Linked DNA regions of Oreochromis niloticus. The protein of the gene in region 1 purifies or fractionates together with the protein of each later gene. This does not show direct contact. Links are inferred from orthologs where the notes say so. Each region holds a gene or a part of one and is shown in the gene's direction. Other genes may lie near its edges. The genes, in order: map2k1 and lamtor3.

The links.
Region 2: the proteins of map2k1 (region 1) and lamtor3 purify together in Homo sapiens (affinity purification with western blotting; 3 studies listed by BioGRID, with this or other methods). This does not show direct contact. The link is inferred for Oreochromis niloticus from reciprocal best matches to the Homo sapiens genes MAP2K1 and LAMTOR3.

The regions. Positions count from the first base shown.
Region 1 is NC_031972.2:51,630,437-51,639,133, reverse strand, and holds the start of map2k1 (dual specificity mitogen-activated protein kinase kinase 1), read left to right. Parts: upstream 1-5,417; 5' UTR 5,418-5,640; coding exon 5,641-5,723; intron 5,724-8,697. UniProt on the Homo sapiens protein: Dual specificity protein kinase which acts as an essential component of the MAP kinase signal transduction pathway.
Region 2 is NC_031983.2:3,095,072-3,103,417, forward strand, and holds the start of lamtor3 (ragulator complex protein LAMTOR3), read left to right. Parts: upstream 1-4,765; 5' UTR 4,766-4,847; intron 4,848-7,913; exon of another isoform or gene 7,914-8,046; intron 8,047-8,269; 5' UTR 8,270-8,316; coding exon 8,317-8,325; intron 8,326-8,346. UniProt on the Homo sapiens protein: As part of the Ragulator complex it is involved in amino acid sensing and activation of mTORC1, a signaling complex promoting cell growth in response to growth factors, energy levels, and amino acids.

The DNA.
Region 1 (8,697 bases):
CGGAAGCTCACACGGAGAAACAAGGAGAAAAAGGAGAGAAAACCAAAACACCACATGGAAAATATAAACATAAACATACACTAAAAATACATGAGCCCTGGGTCCCTAGACCCAGGCCATGACATAAAGCAACATATACTTTTCCACCCAAAATGGAGTAAGGTCCTAACTCAATTAGAGCCTCACTTGTTTCACAGTTTGTCATGTCATCAATTGATTAATTCATTTTTCACTCAAAATAGCCTTTTCTCAGTATTTTCCTGAATCATCTTTGGCAGCAATTAGAGCCTCAAGTATTTTTGTGTAGGATGCTACAAGCTTGGCACACCTTTATTTGGGTGGTTTCTCCCAATCTTCTTTGCAAAACTTCACAAGCTACAGCAGGTTGGATGGGGAGCAATGGTGCACTGCCATTTTCAGATCTCTCCAGAGATTGTCATTCCTAAAGTCCTGCTCTGTTCACACATCAGGCCAGGTTTATCCCTTGAACAGAACTATCAATGCCATCTTAATGGATAAAGTCCTCATTTTGTGAGCACTGCCTAGGGGCCAACCTCCAATAGAACCAGTCTCAGGGTGGGGCAGTTATCTGCTATGACCAGTTGGCAGTGAGGGGAGGGGGATGAGAAGACAACTAACTAACTAACTAATTAACTAAGTCATGCTGGTCTTGATTTGTTTATCAGTTTGTTTTGACAGATCTAAGATAGACAGATCTAAAAGTCTTTTTATTCTGTTTGAGTTCATTCAGAGCAGCCAGACATTAGATGTTCTATTGTCTCTTCTTATTTGCCACATATTCAGTGTTTGTTTACTTCCACTTTTTAAAAGTTGTCACATTTGTCAAGGACATTGAATTGGTGCCATGTTTCAAGATCTTGTTTCAGTTCAATTCAGTTCAGCCTCATCTTTTCAATAGCAGTTGGTCTTAATGTATTGATCTTAAGCAGGAATAATGAGCCCTTCAGTTTCTGACTGTAAGCCTGCTGTTTTAAGCCAGCAGCTTGTTTGGTCCACATCTCTGCCATTTATTCATTTCAAATACTGTCCGGAGCATTTTCTTCCCATTTTCTCTTTCATTGTTATAGGGTTTGATGTTTGCCTGCCATTTCTGCTTAGCTGGTGGTTGGCTCATTTTCCATTAGTTGTATCTTTGGCATATTGAGCTCTCTTTTGAATATAACGGCTTCATTAGTGCAGTGATAATGATTTTTTTTTTTTTTTTGTAGTTCTTTCACTATCTTTAGCTTTGTTAAGGAGATTGTCTTCTTTATTTTTGAGGTATGTGTCCAATGTTTTTGTTTTGTTAGTAAGGCCTCTTCCATCTAATGTCTTTAGAGGGTACAGGACATCTTTTCTATCCATCGATCCATCTCATCCTATTCGGGGTCACAGGAAGACTGGAGCCGAATACAGCTGTCAGAGGGAGTAAGTTGTGGTACACCCTAAACAGGTTGCCAGTCTATTGCAGTGGTAACACAGAGACACAGATTCACAGTGACTCGAACAGCCAATTAAGGAATCACCAACTAAACTTCCCCATTGTATTTTATTTTTCCCTGAAATGTTCTTATTTTGGACAGAGTTGAATACTTTCTTGTGGTCAACCAAAAGGAGTAAGATTATTTCTTTTCCCAGTCTTAATCGCCTTCATTATGGCTTTATTAAGTTAAGCCATAATTAAGTAGTTGATCTACATAACTCCTACATAACTACAGTATTTTTGTTTTAGTGCTAGCAAGTTGTTGTCCACCAGATTCTTGTAGGATCTGGCTATTGGTATTCATTTTAAAGTCTTATACAGTGTAGGATTAAGTAGTACCACTTGTTAGCCGACTGCATTAGTCGGGCACTAACAATAAGGAGGCCATCCTTCATGGTTTTCTATGATCGTGTCAGGTTTTCATGTAGTGCTGTTGTTTTAGCCAGAAGCTTGTTACGCCATAATTCCCCAGGGTCTCCCAGTTTCTGGATTTTTCGGATAGCTGTTGTTGTTGCCTCCACTGTTATTTCTGGCTTGTTCACATGTATCTTTGTTTTTTCAAAGGCCTTTATCAACTCAACATTTTCATTATGATGTTCTTCTTTTTCCCAGATATTAGTCCAAATGTTTTGACAGTTTGTTGTTTTTTTTTAAATTAAAATCTGGTATTTCCATGATTATAATATCCTCTTCTTTTAATTCTTGGTGAAACTTTTTTGTTTTTACTTATGAACTCTTCTTTTCCATTTCTTGACATTATTTCCTCGAGTGATTTCAGTGAATATTCAACTTTCACTTCTTGTCTTTTGGTTTTCTTCTTCAATTTATTTTTTTTTCCATTGTCTCTGTTTTGTTTCCTTGTGTCCCCTCCTCCTAATTTTTATGCCTAAGATGTCACTGACTGCAGAGGCAGCGGCATAAAATAATTTGTTCACTTCAGCAAGGGATAGCTTATCATCAAGCCTATTCTTAGAATAGAATAGAAGAATAGAATAGCTTTTTATTGTCACTGTTACAAGAACAGTGAAAGGCAGTTTGGCATCTCTCCATGTGTGTGAAGTACACAATAGCGTAAGTATTTACACAATGACAAATTTACATTTACACAAGAAAGATATGTACAAGTTATACATACACCTGCAAACATACACGCACATACATACATATATGTATATATACATATTTGCATCCGTACATGCATACACACACATATTTCCACATACACACTTACATCTATATACATACACATACATGCCATCTAACTAGCAGGTGCATTGAGAGGTGCAGTGTGATCAGTGATATTGCACATTGAGTGGGGTGGGGGGTGCTGTTGGAACTATACTAAATAATGTTATAATAAATACAGTTTAAAGAGGTAGGGGTGTTGTTTGCATTGAAGTATAAACAGAAATACGATTTATAAATAAGGTGTAATGTCCATGAGTGTTGGCAGTGCAGTTATCCTCCAATCAGGGTGGAGGTAGGGCATGTTTGACAGCCTGTGGGTAAAAACTTCTGTTGAGTCTGTTTGTCTTCGACCTGATGGACCTGTAGCGTTTACCAGAGGGAAGGGGGGAAAAAAGTGAGTGTCCAGGGTGTGAGGGGTCTTTAATGATGATGCTGGCTTTCTGCTGAAGTCTGCCAGTATAGATGTCTCTGAGGGGAGTTAGTGAGGTGCCGATTGCCCGCTCTGCTGCCCTCACCACCCGCTGCAGTTTCCTCTTGTCCTCCGCAGTGCAGCAGTTGAACCAGAGTGTGCAGCAGTAAGTCAGAAGGCTCTCAATGGTGGAGCGGTAGAAGTTTACTAGCAGTCTTTGGGGTAATTGAGCCTGACGTAGTTTCCTGAGGAAGTACAGCCTTTGTTGTGCTTTCCCTACCTGGTGGGAGATGTTTGTGGACCAGGTAAGGTCGGCCGAGATGTGGACTCCGAGAAACTTGAAGCTTTCTACCCTTTCTACCTCCTCCCCATCAATGTAGAGGGTAGAGTGCTCAGATCGCTTTGTTCTTCTGAAGTCGATTACCATCTCCTTGGTCTTGGCTGTGTTCAGATGCAGGTTGTTGTCGTCACACCATTGCTTCAGATGCTGAACCTCCTCTCTGTACGCTGAATCATTGTTGTTGTCGATCAGTCCTATGACAGTGGTGTCATCAGCAAATTTTATAATGGTGTTACTGGTGTGGATAGGTGAACAGTCATGGGTGAAAAGTGAGTATAGGAGGGGACTGAGGACACACCCCTGTGGGACACCCACATTCAGAATGAGGGTGGAGGAGGTGTGCTCTCCCATTCTTACGTTCTGGGGTCTGTTGCTCAGGAAGTCCAGTATCCAGCTGCACAGTGAGCTGCTGAGTCCTAAGTTGCTTAGTTTATTAACCAGTTTGTGGGGTTGAACTGTATTGAAGGCAGAGCTGAAGTCCACAAACAGCATTCTCACATAGGTGTTACTACAGTCCAGGTGTGTGAGGGCTGTGTGAAGAGCTGTTATTATGGCGTCCTCTGTCGACCTGTTTGCCCTGTATGCAAACTGGTGTGGATCGAGGTTTGCAGGGATGGCAGCTTTAATGTGTGACATGATGAGCTGTTCGAAACATTTGGCAATTATGGGTGTTAAAGCAACTGGACGATAGTCATTCAAGCAGCTCACTGTGTTCTTCTTGGGCACTGGAACGATGGTGGCTGACTTAAGGCAGGATGGTACTACAGACTGTAGCAGTGAGAGGTTGAAGATGGTGGCCATGATTAATAGCCATGGCTATTAATAGCCATTAATAGCCATGATTGCTCTATTAGTTATTTGTAATGCTGATTTTGCATGCCTGTCACATTTAATCTTTAGCATTAGTGGTCTTTCATCAGTGTTTCTTTTACAGTCTCCCATTTTCTCAGTATGTTGTTTACCATTTCCTCTACTTTTTCATCAGCACTGTGTTGCATTTGGGTGGTCTGATTCATTTGGTTGGTTTACTTCATCGCTCTGCTCATTTTCCTCAGCACTTAATGCTGCAACATTGTTTTCTTGGTGATTCACATCTCTTCCCCGCTCTTGAGATGCTTCATCTTTTATCCTTTGAATTTCAGTCTCTGTCAGTCTCGTTTTTAATAACGTCCCTTCTGTTGTTTGCAAGGTTATTAGTGGTCATATGAGGTCTTGAAATACACTTCCATCACATATTTTTACTTTTTTTGTCACCATTTAGTTCTAGCTGGTTTTTGATGGTTTTCAGGGAGTCCATTTTGTGGGCCCTCATAAGCATCATACTTATTGCTTAGTGGGGTGATTGTCATTTGCTTGCTGGTTAGAGTTTGTTCCAGTAGCAGACTGTGTGGTTCCCTGTGGAGGAAAGTAGTCCTTTTTTATGTTATGGTAATCTATTAGGTTTTTATGCCATTTTGGACAATGATAGTCAGAGCCTGTTATGTAATATTTTACCATATTTAACATTGGCCATGTTAAATGTGGCCGAAGTTTCGAATAAAGAGGCCAGTATATGTATGAGTAATCCCTGTGAGCCAAAAACTCAGATTTCAGACTACTTTAAGTGCCTGGTTTCAGATAATTTATGTCACTGAGAGTGGATACCCCTGAAAGCACACAGCTCTGGGCCCACCCAATTGTTATTAGAACTTTCAGTTTAGGAGGGGCAGCCAATCCGAAGAAAGAGGCTAAAATGACATGTTTCAAACAGTTTTTAGGATGAAGTGAGTGACTGCATTTCTTATAAATAAAGATAATTTTTGAAAAATGCAAAGCTACTCTAGTTTTGGCTAATATGCTCCCTTTAGTGGAGCGCTTAATTCCCGCCTTCCTGCTCGTTTAAATGAAACTTTAGTAACAGCATGGTAATACCGCCTATCACCAGCAGAGGGAGAGCTGCAGCAAGCCCAGCCACGCTTTCCGGAAGACCAATGAAAATATTTTGTGACGTTTCATTCACCTCCACCCATTAAGAAGAAATCAGCTGCTCAGCCTTGCAGTTCATTACAACCCTTGCCTGTTTCTTCCCTTGTCAGTCACTGCCGATAAACAGTGTCTTCTTAATATCAGATACCTCTTCTGTATCGGGCTTCCGTCTACACTGCTGCAGCTCGTGTGTTGATTTGTTGTTGTTGTTATATATATATTTTTTTTTACACCAGCTTGTTTCTTGCACGTAACATGCAGAAGAGAAGGAAGCCTGAGCCGATCCAACTCAACCCCATCCCTGATGGAAACACTATCAACGGCAGCGGAGCCACAGAGTGAGTGTCAATATTAATCTGCTTCTGATATCCAGATAGGGGAATGTAGTACACAGATAACTGCTTTCTGATACATAACCTGATGTATGTTGGATTCGGTATGACAGCAGCCAATACCGTATGTGTGTGTGCTCGAGTACTCTGCACCAAGTATTTGAGCTTGTCCTCTACTGCAACTATTGATCACTGGCATTGTTATCAGTTGCTGTACTGAGAAAATGAAATATTTTTAAATCTGAAAAGTTACTGACACATGCCCATTAATGGTTCCTCAAATAGCTTATGTGGTTTGGGTTGCATGTTGCATTTTTATAGGTTACAGCATTGATTGATTGATTAATTCATTAGATTTACTCTTCAAGCACAATCCAAGACACACAGATACTCCGTTCAAACTGAAATAAAACAGGGAATAAACAGAGGTTGATCACATTGATAATTTTTTGGCTCTAGAAAATGCTTGAATGTTGTTAAAACAGCCACTAAATCATAATTCAGTAGACTTCAGTGGACTATTTGTTACACACTAATCAGCTATCAAATAGTTAAAGAAGTTTAATTTATAATGATGTAAAATGGAGAAAACTGGAAACTCATTTCACTTTATCATTTCAAGTGCTAAATAGCTGTCAAAATCCTCATGATTTCATTCATTTTTCCTGTTTTACTTCACATTTTCACAAATTATTGTTGTTACTGTGTTTCTCATTATAATATTTCTGTAACATCCGGCTGTCAAGTCCTCTTCGTGGTGTCATGGATGGACAGGTCTCCTTGTTACTCTCACAGCCCACTTGGTGTGATTAGTCAGAGTTAGAGCTTTCCAGCGAGGCAGCACACAGAATTATATTTCTGTCTGCTGAAGAAGTTCTGCAAAGTCCTGCTCCCACCATTGTTTGACAAAACACAGTAATGGAGACATAAAATTGTTTTGACATCCTCCTCTAGCCCTCAGTTTGCTGAGAAAAGCCCAGTGAGTCCTGCAACAAGCTGGATCAGTGGAGATGAGAGTTACATAACATGTCATCGGTTATGATGGCTGCTTTTCTGATGCGTTGTAGAGTCTGAATATATCATTGTTTCGTTGTTAGAGCACACATCTGAAGGCCATCTGTGTCTTTGGCAATGAATTAAAGACTAAAAAAAATGACACTGAGTCATGTTTGAATACCATTTTGCATTAAGCAATGGTAATTTTAAAGCAACAAGAAAGATTTTTTTTTTAATGTGTCCACTAGTCCACCACATTAAGATTTACAAAATACAAAAAAACATTAAAAAAAACAGGAAGGAATATACTTTAAGAAGTTTTCAGTAAGATACAAATTAGAGTAGTAGAAATGTAAAAGTGAGGCCAAAGGTCAAATGACATGACATTTGGATACAAACTATAATGTGGTATTTAAAATCCCCATAAACCAGTATCATTTCTTAACTGTTCCCAGTATTTGAATTTGTAGCATAGCTTGAAAGATGAAATACATTTTATAAAATTTTAACCAGTAAGACACATAGTTTTAAAAATAGCTCTAAAGATCACTATTATCACTTTGACCTTCAGATTAATCTATTGACCTTGGAGAGGTCAAAGGTCATAAGTGACATATTTAAAATCTTTACACAGTATATACAATACACTCTATATGTTGACAATACATGTCACACATGCCATAGGTGTAAAACTTATAGGGCTTTTGTCAGTTTTTGCCCAACAAATCATTTGGTTGACCTTGAAGACCTTGGTGGATGTAAGCCAAATTTGAATGGATTGTTAACATGACCCCACTCTACACCCCTACAAAGTTTTATCAGAATTCATTCAAAACCTTTTGAGTTATCATGTTTATTGATGCAAGGAATGAGACATGTAAATGCTACCAAAAACAGAACCTCCTCTTCTGATTTTTAAAGATTCAGTTTACTTTTAGCCAAGGGCAGATGTTTGACTTTAGCTTGCTTTGATGGAAAGTCTGCTGTAGTTTGAATTCTATTATACTGAATGTAAAGATCTTTTCACTATTAAAATATATATCGGCTGATAATCATGTACATGTAATCCCTGTGAACCTAAAGCTAAGGCTGCTGCAAACATTTTGTTTTTCATTCCTTCTGCCTGGTTGATGTCAATAAGGCAGGAATGTCCTTATATGGGCACAGAAAGAGCCCAAGAATCACCTGAACCTGAACCATTTTTCTTCAGTGTTCTACTTAAGAGTTATCTGCAAGTTCTAGAGCTTGACCAAATACCTTCTTAGTTGCGAAGGAGTGCTAAAAGAGAAAGAAAGAAGGAAAACTGTTTATTTATTTATACATTCTTGTGACATCAAAATGAGCCCAATGCTTATTGAGTAACTCTGATGAAATCCGTTTTGCTGTGGATGTTGTCGCTGTCTGCTCTGTTCTGGATCAGATTTTGAGCTCCAACATGTATGCAAGAATGTGAAAAGTGGACATTGTGTAGGTTTTGTATGTTGGTTTCAGAATTTCTACACTACTGATCAAGCAGGAGAACAACACAAAAGTGGGCTTTTAGAAAGAGGGGCTTTATAGGGACGGGAGCTAAAATGGCTTTTTTTCAGACTGTGAATGAAGTGAGGAGATGCATGAAGGGCTGGTGTACGATGAAAGGGGATTGTATTGAATTGTGAATTGTGTAAAGCTGTAGTAGAGTTAAGGTATGACGTCAGGTACAGTGGTTAGCACTGTTGCCTCGCAGCACATGAATCTTGCGATTGGCTTGCGCCTTCCTTTTTAGAGTTTGCATGTTTTCCATGTGCTTGCATGGGTTTCTTTTGGGTCCTCTTCCCAAAGATCGACTGGTTTGATTCTAAATTGGCCATGGATGTGCAATGTATAACGTGAAGTGCTGTATGAATATGTGGCTAATGTGTGACATGGATGGTCTGTAAGACAGGAAAAGCACAAAAAAATACTGAACGCATAAAAACATGGAGCTTGAAGTGAGCACAACAGA
Region 2 (8,346 bases), on another chromosome or scaffold:
ATGTCTCTGTCGATTCATCTGTGTGTGTGCTTGTATTTGTGTGTCGTTATGTGCAACTATATATATTATTATATCTATGGATGACACATGTGTATATGCTGTGTGTATATGTGTATGTATACATTCAAAAAATATGGACACATATATACAGTGGCTTGCAAAAGTATTTGGCCCCCTTGAACTTTTCCACATTTTGTCACATTACAGCCACAAACATGAATCAATTTTATTGGAATTCCAGGTGAAAGACCAATACAAAGTGGTGTACACGTGAGAAGTGGAACGAAAATCATACATGATTCCAAACATTTTTTACAAATAAATAACTGAAAAGTGGGGTGTTAGCATGTAGAGCAGACAGAGTTACCCCCTGCATGTTGCAGGTGTCACAGCTGCTGTCTTCCATATTCAAAGATTGTGCCAACCTAAGCCAGCAGTTTATCTGAATGTACACTCTCTGCTGTTGCCTTAAACCATTTACATGTTTACACAATACAATCCAACATCATCATTCACACATTGTCACAGCACAGGCACTCTTGTCTTGAAGAAGAACAAGCACTCACATGTTAGCCAGCTCTTGACTGAGGATGGCAACTTCTGCTGAAATGGTAAAGTTAAATTCAGTTAAATTCAGTTGTTTATGTACAACGTCCATTTTTAAGGCAGTCGGCCAAAGAAAAGAAAAGAATTAAAGAGCTTGGACCCGACCATCCAGAATCAGATATTCAGCAGCAGTCCATGGATCTTGGAAGAGCATATATACAGTCGTTCTCCAGCACGCTATATTACGAGCGGAGATGGCTTACGGGACGTAATGTGAATAACACCTTCTTTTGCTTTCCGTGTCTGCTGTTGTAAAGTCCTGGTGCCAAAACATTATGGACCACCATGGGTATACGGGACTTAAAGCACTTAACAGAAAAGTGCAAAAGACAAGACAGTAGCTGCAGCTCTTTGGACAATAGCATCAAGCTACACATTTTTTGCAGGCTTAACATAGTAGAACAGCTGGATGAAGGCTATAGAATTGGCAGAAGAAGCACATTGAAGCACACCAAAGAGACGACAAAAACTGGCACGTTCTGTCTGGAATCATAGACTGGTGTGAACTTTTGCTGGGACTTTGCGTTAAGATTTGTGTCAATATTTGTGTTTTAAAATTTTATTCAATTGCTCAGGTTTAAGGAATATTAAAGTGTTTGTGGAGATTTTAAATTTGTGTTTTTGTCCTGACCTGTAAAATGCTTTATTTTGTGTGACCCAATTGCCCCCCACCCCCAAAATATTGTGTTACCACCGGCCAGCACTGATTTCAACTTATATCTTTATCTTAAAGACCCCACACAACTATCCAGCTACCCCTCTCACTTATTAATAAGTATGTGAAAATGATCAGTAAAGCATTAAGAATTGAAATGCTTAATATATTAAGACCAAACATGTTTCATTAAATGTCAACACTCCCCGAGTAACACACAGATTATTAAATTTATTAGCTCAGTCTCTCAGACAAAAAAAGAATCAGTTATTGTTACAGTGGACATCAAAAGGCTGTTGATGAGGTAAACTGGAAACTCTTATTCACAGTACCACAAAAATTTGGATTTGGAGAGTCAAATATTAATCGGATTTAAGAATCTGTTTTTTGCCACTTTTGCTTTGCCACTATCAACCAAAAGGTCTGCTTACTTTCAGATACCAATCTGGCAGGGGCACGGGCAGTTCCTGAGGTTCGGGTTCAAAGGGGAAACTCCCCGGACGGTTCTCGCACCTGTGAGCCTACGGGGCCTCAGGGTCCCGAACTACCTTGACAAGGGGCGGGCCGCCCTTGCCCACCCTTGGCCCCAGACTCTACTCTATGCTTTCCCTCCTTTCTCCCTCCTCGAGTCTGTCCTCTGCCAGGTTCAGACCAAGGACAGGTTGAGGTTGATTCTGGTGGTACCTCTTTGGATCCGCATGCCCTGGTGTTTTTTCCGCTCGTTGCCTTAGGGCTGCCTGAGCCAGTGATAGAAACTCTGCAGGAGTCTTGTGCACCATCCACAAGGGCTGCCTATTCCTACCGCTGGGGACTGTTTGCAGGCCTGGACCCCTGGCTCTCCTAAGGGACCTGGAGTTGGTCGTTGTCACCCTTCAGTGTCTTCCCTTTGACCCACTTGAGGATGCTGATGTGAAATTGCTCTTCCTCAAAACGGCCTTTTTGGTGGCCATAGCATCTGCCAGGAGGATTAGCGAGACCCACGCTCTGTCAGTCCATATTGACGAGAAAGGGGTAATTATCTGGTACAACAATGCATTCCTGCTGAAGGCCCTGTCTGAATTCCAACTGTCCCAGTCGGTTGAGCTACAGTCAGCTCCCACTTGGGGCTTCAATCAGGAGGTAGCTTGGCACCAGGCTGCTCTGTGCCCTGTCAGGGCCTTTGCAGATTATGTTAAGTTACTCAGCCTTCTAGGCAAACAGACCAGCTGTTTGTCAGTTTTTCTAAATCCTAGCTGTCCAATTAGGTTGTGGAGGAACCCTTAAAAGTAATGCAGTACGTTATTTAATTACACCCAGGACAAAGACATTCTTCATACTACTCGTTAAGTTACTTTCATGTTAGTCTGTAAAATGATCTGAAACACACTGTCTCATAATTACCAATTAACAATATAAACCTAGAGGCTACATTCCCACACACCAACACAAATCCCTATCCTGATGAGAACACACATGTCTTTCTCTTAGTATTTAGACATGAACACAAAGCTGACAACACAAAGCAAAGATGAAAACCAGCACAAAGACACTTTAAAGTGATTGTCATGGTGCTTCTACCGTAGAAACATGAGCAGATAGAAATGGAGGCTGCACCTTGACTGCTCATCCCTTTGTTATCTGTTGAAGTTCAGCAGCGGCTGACTTTTTCACGGGTCAGCATCCACTCAGCTTTAACATCAGTCTGGGTTCTTGGCTAGCTTAGCATTAGCATGCTATCTGCACAGGTGCTTGCAAAGAGCCGAAGTTGTTTTAACAGTATAATAATAATAGTTTCTGTCCTGGATCAATCTCCACTTTACCATCACGATCTCATCCTTTTTTACAATAAAAATAAAAGTAATGTCCATATGATCGTAGTGAGAATGCAAGAGTCGATCAGCGGCATTGATAGACTGGCAGACTAACGAGTCCAAGGAATTGTTCTACCAGGAACTGGTTCTGTACAAGAACCGTATGGGCTCAAAATGTGGTCATAAATATTTTGTACTTGTAAATCAGTTTTGTACTTGTAAATCAGGATTTGTATGTGTAGAAAGAATTTGTGCGTGCGTAAAAAAGATTTGTATGTGTAAAAAAGATTTGTGTGTGCGTAAAAAAGATTTGTATGTGTAAAAGATTTGTATGTGTAAAAGATTTGTATGTGTAAAAAGAATTTGTGCGTGCGTAAAAAAGATTTGTATGTGTAAAAAGAATTTGTGTGTGCGTAAAAAAGATTTGTATGTGTAAAAAAGATTTGTGTGTGGACTTAGCCAAAAACCCCCCTGCAAGTTACAAGTACGAATTTTGACCCTATTTTTCTTCCTGTCATCTGATTGATCAATGTCATGTCAATCACAAATGTAACAATCCAATCAGAGAACAGATGGGTTTGGCTGTCGGAGGGGCACTTTTTTGAACTGCAGGTCCTTGAAGGGAATAAATGCCCTTTTACATGCCAACCCAGCGTTTTCCTTCATCACCACGAAGGAAAACAGTCTGTGGTCGTCCGAGTTTGGTGATTTTTGTGTCACAGGTCTACGTGCTTTATACAGGGACTTCCACAGCCTTTTCAACAGCGCTGCGGACCGCGGGGGGGGGGGGCAGTGTTTTGGAAATGACAGTCTTCATTACAAAGCTTTCTTCGTTATGAATTAGCATACATGTTTTTATTGAACATTTAAAGAACTAGCAAAAAAACCAGAAACTGTTGTAGAGGACATAAAGTCAGAGATAGAAACGACAAGGAGCAGGTGCATCTAGTACAGGTAGCGCTGCTGCAAAAACCCACAGAGCTCAGCAGCCAGCGCAACAAATTCTGGATCCTTTGCTTTTAGTTAGCAGTTAGCATTAGCAGCACATCCTGCGTCCGATGTGAAAGGACCTTTATGCTGCGCACTGTGACTCACAGCAATGGTCCCGGGTCAGCCCTGACTTTGTGTTAAACTAATCCTAAAGTAATAATGGTATTTCTAACCACTGACATACCACAACTTTATCCTTTCAACAGCTGCTGAAAGTAAGGGGACCTAGCTGCTATCGGATATTTATATAGAGATCCTCCAGCTTCAAACTGTATTACCCTTCAAGGACCTGCAGTTCAAAAAAGTGCCCCTCCGACAGCCAAACCCATCTGTTCTCTGATTGGATTGTTACATTTGTGATTGACATGACACTGACCAATCAGATGACAGGAAGAAAAATAGGGTCAAAATTCGTACTTGTAACTTGCAGGGTTTTTTTTGGCTAAGTCCACACACAAATCTTTTTTACACATACAAATCTTTTTTACGCACGCACAAATTCTTTTTACACATACAAATCCTGATTTACAAGTACAAAATATTTATGACCACATTTGAGCCCATAGAACCAGTTCTCGATTCCAAGCACGAACACTAACACACAAATTTTACAGGAATCCACGGCTTTCCATATATGAGCAAAAATCACACCACCACTTTCTGAACCAGCCAGGCTTCAGGCGTCGTCAGTGACATCACTCACTCTTAAGGAAACAAGCCTCGATTCACGTTTCATAAAATACTTCCTGGATATTTCGACACACACTCCGAAGCCTTGGCACAGTGCATCCCATCACTCTCTAAAGGTACTTCCTATCGTCTATTCCTAACCTCTTTTCGCTGACCTAGATGAAAATGTAATTTAGATCATGTAAGAATGGGGAGGGGCAAATTTAGGTTCAGAGTTTTAGGGGTGCTCAGCTCCCCATCATAAACAAAAGCGAGTCGTTTATTTTGGCTGGTAGACATGAACATAAAATTTGAGCAAAGGCAAAACAAGGAGCGACAGCTAAACTGAAACCTAAACTGGGAAAAACTAAAAAACTATGAAAACTGTGACAAGACTGTAGAACTATGAATCAACTATGACGACTGTGAATACTGTGACGAGACGTGGAGGGAAACAGACGACCTGACAATGAACAAAGGAAGACCGAGGACTTAAATACACACAGGAGGTGATCAGAGGAAGTGAAAACACACAGGGAAACAGCTGACTAGACAGGGGAAGTGAAACACAATGACAAAGACACACAAGACTCTTTCAAAATAAACCAGGAAACACTGAGAAAATAACACTAACCAAAGAAGAAAACTAAAACACGCAAAACACTGGGTCACAGACACAGTACCGTGACAAAAGCACCATTTTTCATTAAAGACAGTGGAAAATCGCACTGCCACGCCATACACATGAAGCAGTCTGGTCAGAGAACTGCTTTTACATACAGACCCTCCCTTTATTGTGCAGAGAGAATACTAGAAGGAGAGAGGCAGTCTCAGTTTCTTTATGGGAACAGGTAAAAGGGTGATGCCTTACCTGTTCCCAAAACTGTAGGCTGACGCACCTGTTTTATTTATTTTTTTAATTCTTGAAAGAGTAGTAGTCAAGCAGTTCACTGATCATTTGCATAGGAACAGTTTCAAGGGTTTCAGTCAGGATGTGGAGTGCATGATAGCACAGAAACAGCACTAGTGAATTGTCTTCTTATGGCCTCTGACAGTTAACTCATCCCTGTGCCTGTTCTGCTAGACTCAGCATCTGCTAGATGCTCAGTGCAACATTCATTACTATTGAGCACAGTATTTTACTGCAGAGATACAAACTGTTGGTATTAAAGTAACTGCAACAAAGTGGTTTTAATCACAGCTTCACACAGTTAGAGAGTTCCATCAGGTCACTCTGAAAGGTGCTTGAGAAGCCTTTGGCTGCAGCAGAGAGAATTCAAAATCTTGAATAATTATGCCCCACTGTGTCTTAAAGACCTCATACCTCATTATCCTAACTTTGCTTTCAGACTGCAGGGTTCCTTATGATTCTTAGATTTTTTAAAAGTTGAATGGAAAACATAGCCTTTAGCTTTGAGGCGCTACTTTTAGGTCCCAGCTTCAATTAGGGAGGCAGATGCTCTCTCTACTTATAAAATTAGGCTTAAGGTTCCCATTTTTGATAAAGTGTATCAGCTGGATCAGGTGACCCTGTACCACCCCTTAGTTATGCTGCAAAAGACTGGGGAGCTTCCCGTGATGGACTGAGCATTTCTTTTTTATTCATCTCTTTTCAATCTCTTTGTGTTTATACACCACTGGTGCATTTAATAATTAGCGATTATTTCTCTCTTACATGGTTTGCCTTTGATTCTGTCTCTCTTTACTCTCTTCTTTCCCTTTTTCCCTTTACTGGTTGTAGAGAATGGCTGCTCCTCCCTTAGCCTGAGGTTTCTTATTGTTAAAAGGGAGTTTTTCCTTTACACTGTCACTAAGTGTTTGCTCACAGGACAAGTTTAACTATTCATTGTTTACTTATCTGTACTTACCAGGGTACCACCCTATATTCTCCCATCTAAGAAACAAATAATTATACTTGTGGAAAGTCCCTCTCTGGGATGATTACTCACCTGCAGTTCATCTACCTGGGTTGGAGGATTTCATGTTTTGCAGACAACGGAGCAATGTGTGCAAGAAGAATGCAAAAAAGTATCAAATGTAACGAGGTGTTTAGTTGGAAGCGAATGGGCATAGATAGAAATTTGTATACACCGGGTCAATCAGATCAGTATTTGATCAGGGATGTCAAACTCCAGTCCTCAAGGGCCAGTGTCCTGAAACTTTTCCATGTGAATAAAATTAGTAGGTCATTTGCAAGACTCTATAGAACTCCACTGCATGCTGAGGTGGCAACCCCTAATCCTACTGAAGTAAATTAAAGTGAAGTAAAGTCTAAAAGTACGTTTATTGCACCATGTTCATTCACTTATGAGCTGCTGTAACATGAATCAAATGGCTGACTGCAGTCTTCCTAATGACCTACTTATATTATTCAGGTGTGTTGCAGCAGGGACACATGGAAAAGTTTCAGGACACTGGCCCTTGAGGACTGGAGTTTGATACCTGTGATCTCGGGTATGGTTCAGCAACAGTTGTACAAGTTAAACTGTATTCAATAAGAGCCTCTAAGACGTTGCACACTGTGTTTAAATCAACCCCAGCAACAGTATTAGAGATACAGATGAAGGAAATGCCACTAGAAATCAAAAGAGAACTATTATCACTGGGAACTGGGTAAATTTACAGGGCCACAATCAAGATACACTGTTTAAGATGATCTAGTTCACATTTGGCCAGTTTAGTATGACCACTTAATGTTACATGGATGTCTCATAGGAGCTGGAGAAAACCCTTGCAAGCACAGGGAGAACCTGCCAGGGTTTAAGCCAGAAAATCTTTTGCTCTCAGGTGACAGTGCAAAGCACAGAAACAATGTACCACCCTTATCAGCAAATTATGGGATAAAAGGAAAAGAACATTTAGATTTGGCTGTAAAAGAAGCCAAAGAAAGAATTTCAGTTGATCTAATTACCAACGGCAGCTGGATAAAATAAAGAGCATAATAAGACCAAAACTGGGGAAACGTAGAAAAGCAACTAGGGAAAGAAAAGAAAGGAATGATGGAGGGAAGACATATTCATATAATGAATACATATTCATATATTCATCTGTTGGTGTTTTTCTCTGTGCAGTTTACATCAAATACGAAAAACACCAATAGAGAATAGGCAACCGATCCAAGCTCAGTAAAGTGAAAGGTGATCAATGTACTACAAAAAGAGAAGAAAGTGATTTTTGAGCACCTTTCAGGTCTATACCAGTGGGTGGCGCTAATGCGACACTTTGTAGTTTGCCAGCCACTAAAATCAAGAAGAAGAAGTAATCACGTGATTATGTTTTTTTAATCTCCCTTTCCAGATACTGAGGGTTATGTTTTTGTTTTAAAGTCGTTCAAAGGTTTGTCATTTCGTTTGAGATTTTAATGTGTATTTCCGATTTGCCTGCCTGGTTATTTTTATCATGTGTTTGTAGGTTAATAAGGAGATATTAACTGACGCATTTATATTATCGCTGTATTATCTGGGAAACAGCTCATGTGGTTGTGTGGTTTATTTGACATAAAAGAATGTGAAGTTCCGACGACGTACTCAGTCCTCTGTGTGAACAACTATCATTACAGTCATCTCCCTGCAGTCGTCGAGCGGTCTCGATACCTCGATAGCTGCCATGGCCGATGTAAGTATGAGATGTTTGTCA